3 linked regions of the Xenopus tropicalis genome follow. The main gene of each other region encodes a partner of the protein of the gene in region 3 in a complex. Links are inferred from orthologs where the notes say so. Each region holds a gene or a part of one and is shown on either strand. Other genes may lie near its edges. The genes, in order: ap1s1, ap1g1 and ap1m1.

Evidence for each region.
Region 1: the proteins of ap1m1 (region 3) and ap1s1 are in contact, whole or in part, in a crystal structure (PDB 1W63), measured with the Mus musculus proteins. The link is inferred for Xenopus tropicalis from reciprocal best matches to the Homo sapiens genes AP1M1 and AP1S1. Residues at the interface, in NP_031482.1 of Mus musculus: Lys12, Glu31, Asn186, Asn188, Val189, Leu190, Glu232, Glu234, Asn270, His272, Arg421; in NP_031483.1 of Mus musculus: Lys26, Lys30, Arg33, Glu34, Gln37, Lys43, Glu51, Trp52, Arg53, Asp54.
Region 2: the proteins of ap1m1 (region 3) and ap1g1 are in contact, whole or in part, in a cryo-EM structure (PDB 7R4H), measured with the Mus musculus proteins. The link is inferred for Xenopus tropicalis from reciprocal best matches to the Homo sapiens genes AP1M1 and AP1G1. Residues at the interface, in NP_031482.1 of Mus musculus: Ser289, Asn318, Asp319, Ala320, Asp321, Ser322, Trp334, Pro336, Glu337, Asn338, Ser339, Gly361, Leu362, Pro363, Ser364, Val365, Glu366, Ala367, Glu368; in NP_001288140.1 of Mus musculus: Arg24, Glu25, Gln28, Lys29, Ala32, Arg35, Ser36, Arg39, Glu40, His64, Phe65, Gln67, Leu68, Gln97, Val99.

Annotation. Positions count from the first base shown.
Region 1 is NC_030679.2:143,417,751-143,421,502, forward strand, and holds the start of ap1s1 (AP-1 complex subunit sigma-1A), read left to right. Parts: upstream 1-1,286; 5' UTR 1,287-1,327; intron 1,328-3,752. UniProt on the Homo sapiens protein: Subunit of clathrin-associated adaptor protein complex 1 that plays a role in protein sorting in the late-Golgi/trans-Golgi network (TGN) and/or endosomes.
Region 2 is NC_030680.2:59,348,176-59,351,827, forward strand, and holds part of ap1g1 (AP-1 complex subunit gamma-1), read left to right. Parts: intron 1-2,191; coding exon 2,192-2,200; intron 2,201-2,685; coding exon 2,686-2,781; intron 2,782-2,914; coding exon 2,915-2,995; intron 2,996-3,222; coding exon 3,223-3,321; intron 3,322-3,652. UniProt on the Homo sapiens protein: Subunit of clathrin-associated adaptor protein complex 1 that plays a role in protein sorting in the late-Golgi/trans-Golgi network (TGN) and/or endosomes.
Region 3 is NC_030677.2:98,838,374-98,842,125, reverse strand, and holds the start of ap1m1 (AP-1 complex subunit mu-1), read right to left. Parts: upstream 2,675-3,752; 5' UTR 2,442-2,674; coding exon 2,400-2,441; intron 1-2,399. UniProt on the Homo sapiens protein: Subunit of clathrin-associated adaptor protein complex 1 that plays a role in protein sorting in the trans-Golgi network (TGN) and endosomes.

The sequences.
Region 1 (3,752 bases), on a different chromosome or scaffold from region 3:
ACTGTGTATGGGGGCACTGTGTATTGGGGCAATTGGGGGTACTGTGTATGGGGGCACTGTGTATTGGGGAAATTGGAGGTACTGTGTATGGGGGGCACTGTGTATTGGGGCAATTGGGGGTACTGTGTATGGGGGGCACTGTGTATTGGGGCAATTGGGGGTACTGTGTATGGGGGGCACTGTGTATTGGGGAAATTGGAGGTACTGTGTATGGGGGGCACTGTGTATTGGGGAAATTGGGGGTACTGTGTATGGGGGGCACTGTGTATTGGGGAAATTGGAGGTACTGTGTAAGGGGGCAATCGGGGCACTGTGTATTGAGGAAATTGGGGGTACTGTGTATGGGGGCAGTGTATTGAGGAAATTGGGGGTACTGTGTATGGGGGCACTGTGTAAGGGGGCAATCGGGGGTACTGTGTATGGGGGGCCACTGTGTATGGGGGAAATGTCTATAGGGGTAATTGAGGGCCCCTGATACTTTTAATGTCTGTGTGTCCTTTGTACTGATGGGAGGGGCCCCGTGATTGCTAATGGCGGCCAAGAGCAAGTGATTATTAAAAATTAAATAAGGAGCAAAATGACAGCAGTGAATGTATTTCCCCTCAGCATTATCTCTGACTTCCCAGCCAGGCACTTCCTGTGAGATGCCCCAAGCTCCTCCCTCTGCCTGACAGCTCAGGGACATACACGTAGCGCAGGTAAGAGCCCGCCCAAACCTGCCCCGGGGTCACCTGATGTCTGCGCCCGTTACCATGGATACCGGGAGGGAAAGCTGGCATTGCCTCAACCGCCTCAGTGTGCATGTGCGGCAGGTGTACTTCCCTCCGCCCTTATGGGTGAGGCCGGGGGAGGAGGAGGAAGCGGCTCCGGACACTCAGCTACGAGAGGCCGGGGACGGCGGCCTGGGGGGCAGGCCGCAGCATAAGGAGTCACCGCGTACAGAACAGGCAGCAAGATGGTGAGAAATGGGGGATATGGAGGGGGAGCAGGCAGTGCGTTTCACAGGAGGCGGCTCTGCTAAATGCATTGGTATAATGATAACCAGGCGCCTCCATTCTCAGGTACCAGTGGGCGGGATTTATATCAATTAAGGAGGCGGAGCCTCCTGCAGTTCTCTGACAAACCGCCTGGGCATACCTACATACACTACACAAGCCGGCCAAGGTACAAGGCATTTTATAGACGCACCGAGCCCCGCCCTCAGGTTTCTACGTGAAGCGTCACAGCCCTTACGTACAGGCATGACGCCGCAAATCTCGCGTGAGGAAACGGGATTTGCTGGGAGACAGGAGGCCGGGAGCTTGCGGGGAACAGCGTTGCGGGAGGTGTAAGTAGCCAGTCGGTACCGTGTCAGGGCAAGCGGGAGTGTTGGGCGGGGCTGCGCTTAGTTACAGTAGCCGGGCTCGGTGCTGTGGGCTTGGGAAGGGAGCCGGGGTGCCGGCATGTTCTGTCCCCTGCTGCTTCCCGTAGTGCTGCGCGTTTGCCAGGGAAGTTTTAGTCTGTTTAAAGCTGCATGAGAATTGGAAGGGTGGGGGGCGAGGTTAAGGCTGCTCAGCCAATCCTGGTGCAGCTCCTGTGTGGGACCCCCTTGGAAAAAGCATAGAACTGATTTATCCAGCCTAACCACACCCCCTTGCCCTGACTCCTCCCCCAGCCCACTCACTTATAAATCCCTGCTCTCTAGTCAAGTTTTTCCCTACCCGCTCCTAAACATTACCCCCGATAGTGATGTGTGGGCTGGCTCCATACCTTGCTAATTCCCTGCCCTCTGTGCCCAGTCCCGCTGGGAAGTCACTACAGAAATGGATTCAGAATGTTGCATTAACCCCAGAGATGATATATATATGGGATCAACTGCAGAACTGCCCCACATCCCAGTAGAAAGTAACAGTACAGTCACATACCCTATAGAGCAGGGAGCAGGGGGTAGAACTGCCCCACATCCCAGTAGAAAGTAACAGTACAATCACATACCCTATAGAGCAGGGAGCAGGGGGTAGAACTGCCCCACATCCCAGTAGAAAGTAACAGTACAATCACATACCCTATAGAGCAGGGGGCAGGGGGTAGAACTGCCCCACATCCCAGTAGAAAGTAACAGTACAATCACATACCCTATAGAGCAGGGGGCAGGGGGTAGAACTGCCCCACATCCCAGTAGAAAGTAACGGTACAATCACATACCCTATAGAGCAGGGGGTAGAACTGCCCCACATCCCAGTAGAAAGTAACAGTACAATCACATACCCTATAGAGCAGGGTGTAGAACTGCCCCACATCCCAGTAGAAAGTAACAGTACAATCACATACCCTATAGAGTATGGAGCAGGGGGTTGAACTGCCCCACATCCCAGTAGAAAGTAACAGTACAATCACATACCCCATAGAGCAGGGGGTAGAACTGCCCCACATCCCAGTAGAAAGTAACAGTACAATCACATACCCTATAGAGCAGGGGGTAGAACTGCCCCACATCCCAGTAGAAAGTAACAGTACAATCACATACCCTATAGAGCAGGGGGTAGAACTGCCCCACATCCCAGTAGAAAGTAACAGTACAATCACATACCCTATAGAGCAGGGGGTAGAACTGCCCCACATCCCAGTAGAAAGTAACAGTACAATCACATACCCTATAGAGCAGGGAGCAGGGGGTTGAACTGCCCCACATCCCAGTAGAAAGTAACAGTACAATCACATACCCTATAGAGCAGGGGGTTGAACTGCCCCACATCCCAGTAGAAAGTAACAGTACAATCACATACCCTATAGAGCAGGGGGTAGAACTGCCCCACATCCCAGTAGAAAGTAACAGTACAATCACATACCCTATAGAGCAGGGGGTAGAACTGCCCCACATCCCAGTAGAAAGTAACAGTACAATCACATACCCTATAGAGCAGGGGTAGAACTGCCCCACATCCCAGTAGAAAGTAACAGTACAATCACATACCCTATAGAGCAGGGGGTAGAACTGCCCCACATCCCAGTAGAAAGTAACGGTACAATCACATACCCTATAGAGCAGGGAGCAGGGGGTTGAACTGCCCCACATCCCAGTAGAAAGTAACAGTACAATCACATACCCTATAGAGCAGGGGGTAGAACTGCCCACATCCCAGTAGAAAGTAACAGTACAATCACATACCCTATAGAGCAGGGGGTAGAACTGCCCCACATCCCAGTAGAAAGTAACAGTACAATCACATACCCTATAGAGCAGGGGGTAGAACTGCCCCACATCCCAGTAGAAAGTAACAGTACAATCACATACCCTATAGAGCAGGGGGCAGGGTGTAGGGCAGACAGGTTGAGCCTGAATAGAATAGAAATGGGAGCCTCTGTCTATACTGTCCAATTGCATGCTGGGTATTGTAGTTTTATATTAATCCTAGCTGTAGGCTAATTGTTAGATACAAACTACATTACCCAGCATCCAGTGGAACAGGCACACTAGGGTGGAAAAACTTTGGCTAGTTTCCAAACTACAAACTTGCCAAAGGCTCCAAAAAATAGCCCAAAACTGTACCTTGGCGGGTTTGTACCTTATATAGCCAGGGCTTTAAATTAGTAGCCCAATTTGGAGGGAAAACCACCAACCTGGCAACCATGAGGTGCGTGGCCACCGTGCTCCGCCCCTTTTCTAACATCATGATGGGTGGGTGCAGGTATATAAACACAGGGAAGAAGCCGGTTCAGGTTGGGAGCGGTCGGATCGACCCACACATCACCGCTACCCTCTATGTAGGGGA
Region 2 (3,652 bases), on a different chromosome or scaffold from region 3:
TGATCAAAAGGTTTTTAACCACTGCCAGCACCACCCTAGTGGTTAGTAATAATAAGTAATAAATAATCAAGGGTGGATTTCCCCTACTAATGTGAAGTTTTGTATGTTGTAGACCAGCTATGTTAAAATATAAGAAAAGGTGAAGAGCATGCAAAAAGTTCCTGGGGGTGTCCATTATGTGCTGTCATTGACTGTTTGTAACTCCTATGTGGACTGGCAACCGACAAGGCTCTGTTTTGCAGTATTCAAGTTTTTCATGCAACTAAATCCTGCCTTCAAGCCAGGAATTAAAAAAATGAGCACCTACATGGAGGGAACTGACAGCAACATCAAAGGGGAGCAACATGTTGCTCGCGAGCCACTGGTTGAGGTTCACTGTTACAAACTTAAGGTGGCCATACACCGGAAGATTTGCTTGTTTAGTGAGGCCGCCAAGCGAGCAGATCGTCTCCCGATATGCCCACCTAAAGGTTGGCAATTTTAGGCTAATTTGATTGTTTGGCCCTACTGACATTTGCCAATGCAAATGGGGTTGTTTGAGTTCCCTGCAGTATATTAATACCTTACTCTTGGTGTGATGATATTTGTTGATTGACCACAACTGTACAAGTGTAGTCCAAACTCCTTAGAAATAGTTTTAAAGCTTTTTCCAGCCTTGACAGCATCAATAACTGTTTTTCTGAGGTCTTAAGAAATCTCTGTTTAAGCCTTAACACACAGCCACAAACCCAGATTTCTCTAGATAAGGCAGAGCATCACATGATAATTATCCCGATTATCATGCCATTGTTTAAAACTCAAATATCCCCTTCAAAGGAACTGAGAATTCTAGAGGGCCACATACTTTGCCAAACACACTTATGTAACTTTGGATCATTATATGCATTGTGTTTGGCTGATTGGTTTAACTTGGTTCTCTATACATAGTTTTAGGACTTGCATGAGACAGATCATCTTATAACTCACAATATATGCAGAAAAAATGAAAATCCAAAAGGGTTCACAAACTATTGAGGTCCACTGTATATTTCTGTTGTGGCCACCTGTTATTGATCAGGTCTTTTATTCATTCAATGGACTCCCCATCATTTAAATGCTGCTTAGAGATCCTCTTCCACCAGTGGTAAAACAACACTCTACGAGGCCCCCTTCGGCATATCTTTGGAGGGCTCCCCCTGTTCCCCAGGCCTCCCTGCGACTGCTTCCTCTATAGTTATGCCGCTGTCTTCCACTTTGTCTGTCTTTTCATTCACTTTTGTTTACCATCTGCCTTAGTTTCATTCTCAATGTGTTTTTTTTCATTGGAGGTCATCAGCCTCTCTTAAACATTTTTGAGAAATGGTAAATGTAAATGTGAAGAATGAAAAAAAAAATTAGAAATGTAGGAAAGACCGTCCAGGGCTGTTCCAAGTGGATCCTCAAAGGCTTGATTGTTAAGGCCTTATTAGTTGCTCTAAAAAGTGTCATTGTTTAACATCATAATTTTAAAGTGGGACTAAACACTCCTAAACATATTCATGTAAAACTGCCCAGAGAGCTTTTCAGAGCACTTTAACAATTTACTTTTTTTTTTCTTCACTTTTCGTTATATATTAGCAGTTTTCTACTGTCCAATCAAAGACACAATAGATATATTCTCAATAAGCCTAGCCGTGCTTTCACATAACCATTTCAAGCACTTTTCTTTTTCTTTCTTAAACAAAGCCATAGGTCTCTGATTTTTAATCCTCCCATCCAACTTGCTCTGTTGCTGTGCTGTTGCTTGGCAGCCTATGTTAGTCTGTACTTGAGTGACTCTCTTGCATACTTTCTGCAACCCCTCTGACCTTTATTACAATTCTTTCACAGTAGCTCAATCACTAGGGGGCTTGTGCTTTAGTATTAGTGGAATGGTAATTTATTCTGGCATTTTGGGACATGTATAGTTGTGCCAAAATAAGGAAAATCTGTTTTGTCACGATTAACTACCGAATTAAAAACTGACACTTTGAGTGGTTCTTTAGATATTTCTGGGTAGCTTAAAATTACCTTTTGTTTGCAAAACATCTTAAAATATCAGACCTTTTGAATGTGACAGCTATCTAAAATATTTTCACATCAGAGCACCCACATGCATGCTCTGCAGATCAGTGTCCCTAATTGCTGCTTCCTGTCTTTTATTCTGTTTGCTTGGGATCCTGCTGAATGGTAGAATGAAAAGGTAAGACTTCTTCTTTTGTATTTCACTGTTGTTTCTGCCCTAGATAGTTGATCTATTGAATGAATGAAATCACTCTCCACAAGTGTAACTTATTTATCAGTCTTTTTAGATATTTTGTAAAGCTAAAAACTAGCCTCCTTTACCACCCCTGTCCCAAATTAAAAAATAACAGAACAAAAACTTGATTTACTGAGGGATCCATTGTAAATCTTGTCCTTCCGTGGCTTATACTCCTAAACCATAACATTGTGCCTGTCGTACTGAATCGTATTACCTTGATCTCCATACACACAACCCAATCTGAAGTTTACAACTAATGCCTACTTTGTAGCTTTAGTCACTCTGTCTGTTGTGGTCAGATTTGTGTTCTGGTGGAAATATAATGTGTATTTGCTTTGAGAGCAGACTGATCCACATTGATATAAATTTTAGCTTTTTGAGATAAAGTTTTTTGAGTCTATCAAACCTTTTTTTTCCCCCTCCAGCTTGTCCCCCAGTTAGTTCGTATTCTTAAAAACCTTATCATGTCCGGGTATTCTCCAGAACATGATGTGTCTGGGATCAGTGACCCCTTTTTGCAGGTGAGTGTGGGTATGTGTTTAAGCTCAGTGACGGTATGAAGCATTTTTATTAAATTCTAAGAGGGACCTTGGTTACCTAATAACTGTTTTTTTTTTTTGTTTGTTTGTTTGCTTGTTTTTTGGACTGTTTAAGGTTCGGATATTGCGGCTTCTCAGGATATTAGGCAGAAATGATGATGATTCAAGTGAAGCCATGAATGATATTTTGGCACAGGTAAGCAAGCAAATGCAGCTCGGTCGATAATAAACTTCTGTATTTTTGCCTGGTATAGCAGTTGATTAAAAGATTTGTTTTTGACTGAATGGACTTACAAAAGTGTAGTATTGGTTTGTTGATTTGTGGATTTTGTGTGGAACGAGAGTAATAGTGCTGTGTGTTCTAGATGACGCACTTCATCAGTTATATAGTTATTTTCCTCTTGTGCTATTGTTATTTTTTAGGTTGCAACCAACACAGAGACTAGTAAAAATGTCGGCAATGCCATTTTATATGAGACTGTCTTAACAATCATGGACATAAAGTCAGAGAGTGGTCTACGGGTATGTGTCACATCAGATCTGATCTTTTGCTTAAAATCACTTTTCTCCCCCCTTGCATAATAACTGCTCCTGCAAATAGACCACCATTGCCTCTTCTTTCTGCATTAACCTGTGCAAATCCCCTTTTCTAGCTGTTCTAAACCTTTAGGCTAATAGTACACAGGTCGTCTTTATCTGCTAGAGTTTATATGCCAGTTGAGAAATAACAATCTGCTGCCGTCTGTTCCCTGTATGTGAGTCCTCTGACATGTTTGGGATTAACTTTTCACACACAGACAGCAGAAACTGCATACTTCAGCTTTTTGTGCCAAAATCCACACTTTTTGCACGG
Region 3 (3,752 bases):
AAACTAGAACCTAACAAACAGACAGCTGCTGTAATTCCTATCTGGAAAGCTGCTTGACCAAAAAATAAAAATAAAGGCACTCAGCAAATTATCTTAGAACATCACTGCATCATATGAAAGGGTCATTTAAACGTGACCTACTCATTTAAAGAAGTAGTAAGCCTGACATAGAAGAAGCTTTCTGGGAATGTACAGAGAAGCAGAAGCCAGTGTGCAGCAGCAGTTTTTTTTCAGTTCCCATACATAACTTGCCTGACTTACTGTGCATTCCCAGAAAGCTGCCCTCTTCCACTATAGAGAGCTGAACAGGAAGAGAGGCAGGGCTTCATGCTGTACCAGGAAGAAGAGGAAAAGAGCTGGAGATTTCAACTTATAAATCAGAAACCAGATCAGACTGAATGCAGGGACTAAGGTAAGTTATTCTGGGGGTTGTTTAGAGTCATTTTAAGACAGAAAAAAAGGTTTACCAGAAGCTTTATCAGAAATGTCTATGTAAATACAGCAATAAACACTCACAGAAACACTATACTGACTTATCTGTAAAAAGATTAGCTGTGTCTGTTTTCCTCTGCCAGAGACACACAGCTTTCAGCTCTCTCCTCTCTGCTGCTCCCCTGCTCCCCTCCTCCCTCAAGAATGCTAAGAACTCACCCCCCCCTTAGGAATGTGGATCTGAGCCAATCAACAGGAAGCTGACTCATAGTCTTACTAACTGAGCATGTTCACTTGGTCTGGGTGTCTGTGCAGGAGTGAGGCATTATGGGAACTTTACACAGCTCAGTGTTTTTTCTTCCTGTTTAGCTTCTGATCATCTGAACAGGTGAAATATGGGGAGACTTAGGGGCACTATTGAGAGAACTGAAGGTATGCCTGCAGCTTGAGATTAACTCTTTATTAGCCTTTCCTTCTCCTTTAAGACAAACCCAGTTGCAGTTATTTGTATAATACAAATATCAGTGTACCATCCATAACAGAAAGATAGCATATACAAGTATTTTTAAGTGGTTTATAATAAACAAAAATAAAACATTTGAAAAAGGTAGGCAATAAATATGTAAACTGTGGATTTATAGAACACATTCCTGTCAGTCCTGTTCAAAAAACCACAACAAGCTTTAATCCATTTTCTAAAAAATAAATCTGTTCAAACAGGTCCCAGTACCATTTAGATGAAACACAGCAAATGTGGATATAAAGTAGTCTTTGGATCCAAGGTTATAGGTTGTAATTTCTGGGAATGTCTAGGCACCTCCCCCCATCATTTTTTTTACTTTTTTGTGCTCTACGGGCTAAACTTCACTATATCTGATCCAAAATTAAATTAGAACTGATGGAGATCAGATTTTGTAAGATCCAACAAACTCTTGTGCTGTTAAGTCAGACAGAATCTGACCCACAAAAACTGATCATAAGCACTCCTGGAGTTTACCCTAACAGCTTGGATTTGGTTAATAATAACCAAGAGAAAAATATGTTGAGTGATAAAAATGCTTAACCCAAAATGCTGAACCTGGAGTATTGCAGGGATGTGTTTCACAGACACAAAGTAGTTAGATAAACATAAATCAGGTAAGATCTAGGGAGAATGCTACTTTCTGTCATAGGTACAGCAGAAAGCCAATCTTTAAGGCCACTTGGGGTAAGAGTTGCTCTCCTACACTATGGCTGTGCGACTGATAATTTTTTCCTATATCTGGATCTGGATCCCCACGAGGCTCTTGTTAAGCTTAAAATGTCTGAAAACCAATGATCTGAGGAAGTGATAGTGATGTACACATAGATATTTAATGAACAGATCTGTGCCAGGGTTTTCTGTACTACTGATTTATAATAAAAACTGCTCAGACAGATCCCATGGCTATTTCACTAATGAGTAACATTTCAGGCAATCCTTAGCTTCTGACCTTCACACAGTCCTTTCACATGTAGGTAAGGTTTGGCACACAAGTAAATCGCACACAGGGGCACCTGCTGCTGCGCTCACACAGTGTTATTAACTCCGGCTCAGTAACATAGAAGTGGCAGCTGCCGGCCAAACGAGCAGCAGGCAGAGCATCTCATACAGGGAGTGGAACGTATTGGGTGGTGGCGATGTACAATACGAATACCACATTTATAAGGTTTGGTCAGACATGCATCTAATCGGAAGAGAAATCATGCCACTCTGAGAAGGGCCTGGCTAGCTACAATCGAATTCAGCGACCTTCAATGATGAAACACATACACAATCTGTCATATTCAAAGAAATAATGCTGTATTGTCCTAATATTGCTTCATTTCATCCGCCTTGCTCATACAGATCAGAAACGTTCTATTCGGCACCCTAACACTACAACATGGCCCTGCCAGCCCCGCTCTTGGTGACCAGCCCTGCCCGCATTCATTATCCGAACGCTCACCTTCCCTTTCAGGTCTAGCACATATACTGCGCTAGCCGACATCCTTACGGCCGAAGATAGTCCTGCAAAGGCAAGCCAAGCTGCTGCCCACTAGCCCAAAGCTTCGTTATCCTCAGTCCTCTCACAATACCATCCCCGTTATCCACCTCGATAGCGGTCCGCTCAGAGAGGAAACGCAATGTAACTTCCGGTTAGCCCTGTCATAGAGACTTAACATTCCCTTACTAAGATGGCGGATTTAGTCAAAAAGCGGGTCCTTCCATAGTCGATATTTGTGAACGGTCTAAACATGTCTCCACACAAAAAATGTGTGAGACGTCTTATAGAAAGGCCATTAATTGTTTTACGGCTGACAGATTGAAACAATTCCTTGCGTTACTATTTATTCTTGGCCATATTGATTCACGCGAATCAGATTGCACGGACGTTCTACTACATTTGGCTTTTATGGAAGGAAGCCTTTGTAGTAAAGCTTGCGCTGAACGTACTTTTTGCATGTTGGTATGATATGAAAAATCTGTTTTTTTGTTCATTCTTGAGAAGACACAGCAAAAACAGGGAAACTGATTCTGTTCCATGAAGGAGATAATTTGATTGCCCATGTACAGATTATTCCCCTGCATGATGGACTCCTGCGAATAAAACACAATGGGCGAGGGAGGGGGTTGAATACTGGTAATGAAATTATCTACCTGGCATGAACCAAACATGGAGTAGCTTCTGTTTCTCTGTTTACCCCAAGATATATAAAAAACCACATAGACTTTACATAATTAAAAATAAAGATACAAAGTATGTTCAGCACAAGCCCTGTTCATTTAAAGAAGAGGGTTTACTGACTCATGTTTGTCACTGTGTATGTTTTATTTATTAAAATGTTTATTTCTCATTGTACACTTCCCATCCTTTACAAATGTATATGCTCTGTATATACTGTAGCACTGTATAAATAAATGTACATATATATGCATTTGATTTGTCAAACAGATTATTGCTGTTGTATAAACATAATAATTCACATAATTATTATTTACTAGCAGGTCTTGGTTTTAGCTGGAGTGTATTTATCAGAGGTGGCCCATAGGCGACCTGGCCAGCCACCTTGCCCCACCACTTCCCCCTCTACCAGGAAATCCACTGTGGGGGTAAGAGATCCCGGACTAAGGGTTGGCAACAGAAGTACCTGCCCTAGACAGGTGCCTCTTCCGCCTACCCCTAGTTCCGGCCCTGGTATTTATTATCTGTGCTGCTGTGGTCAGTCTTAGCTAATACATGTTCATAAAACTCTCCTAAAACCCTGCCATATACAGTGTGGGACTGGCCTGCCATGGTAGAGGGAGTTGTCCCAGTGGG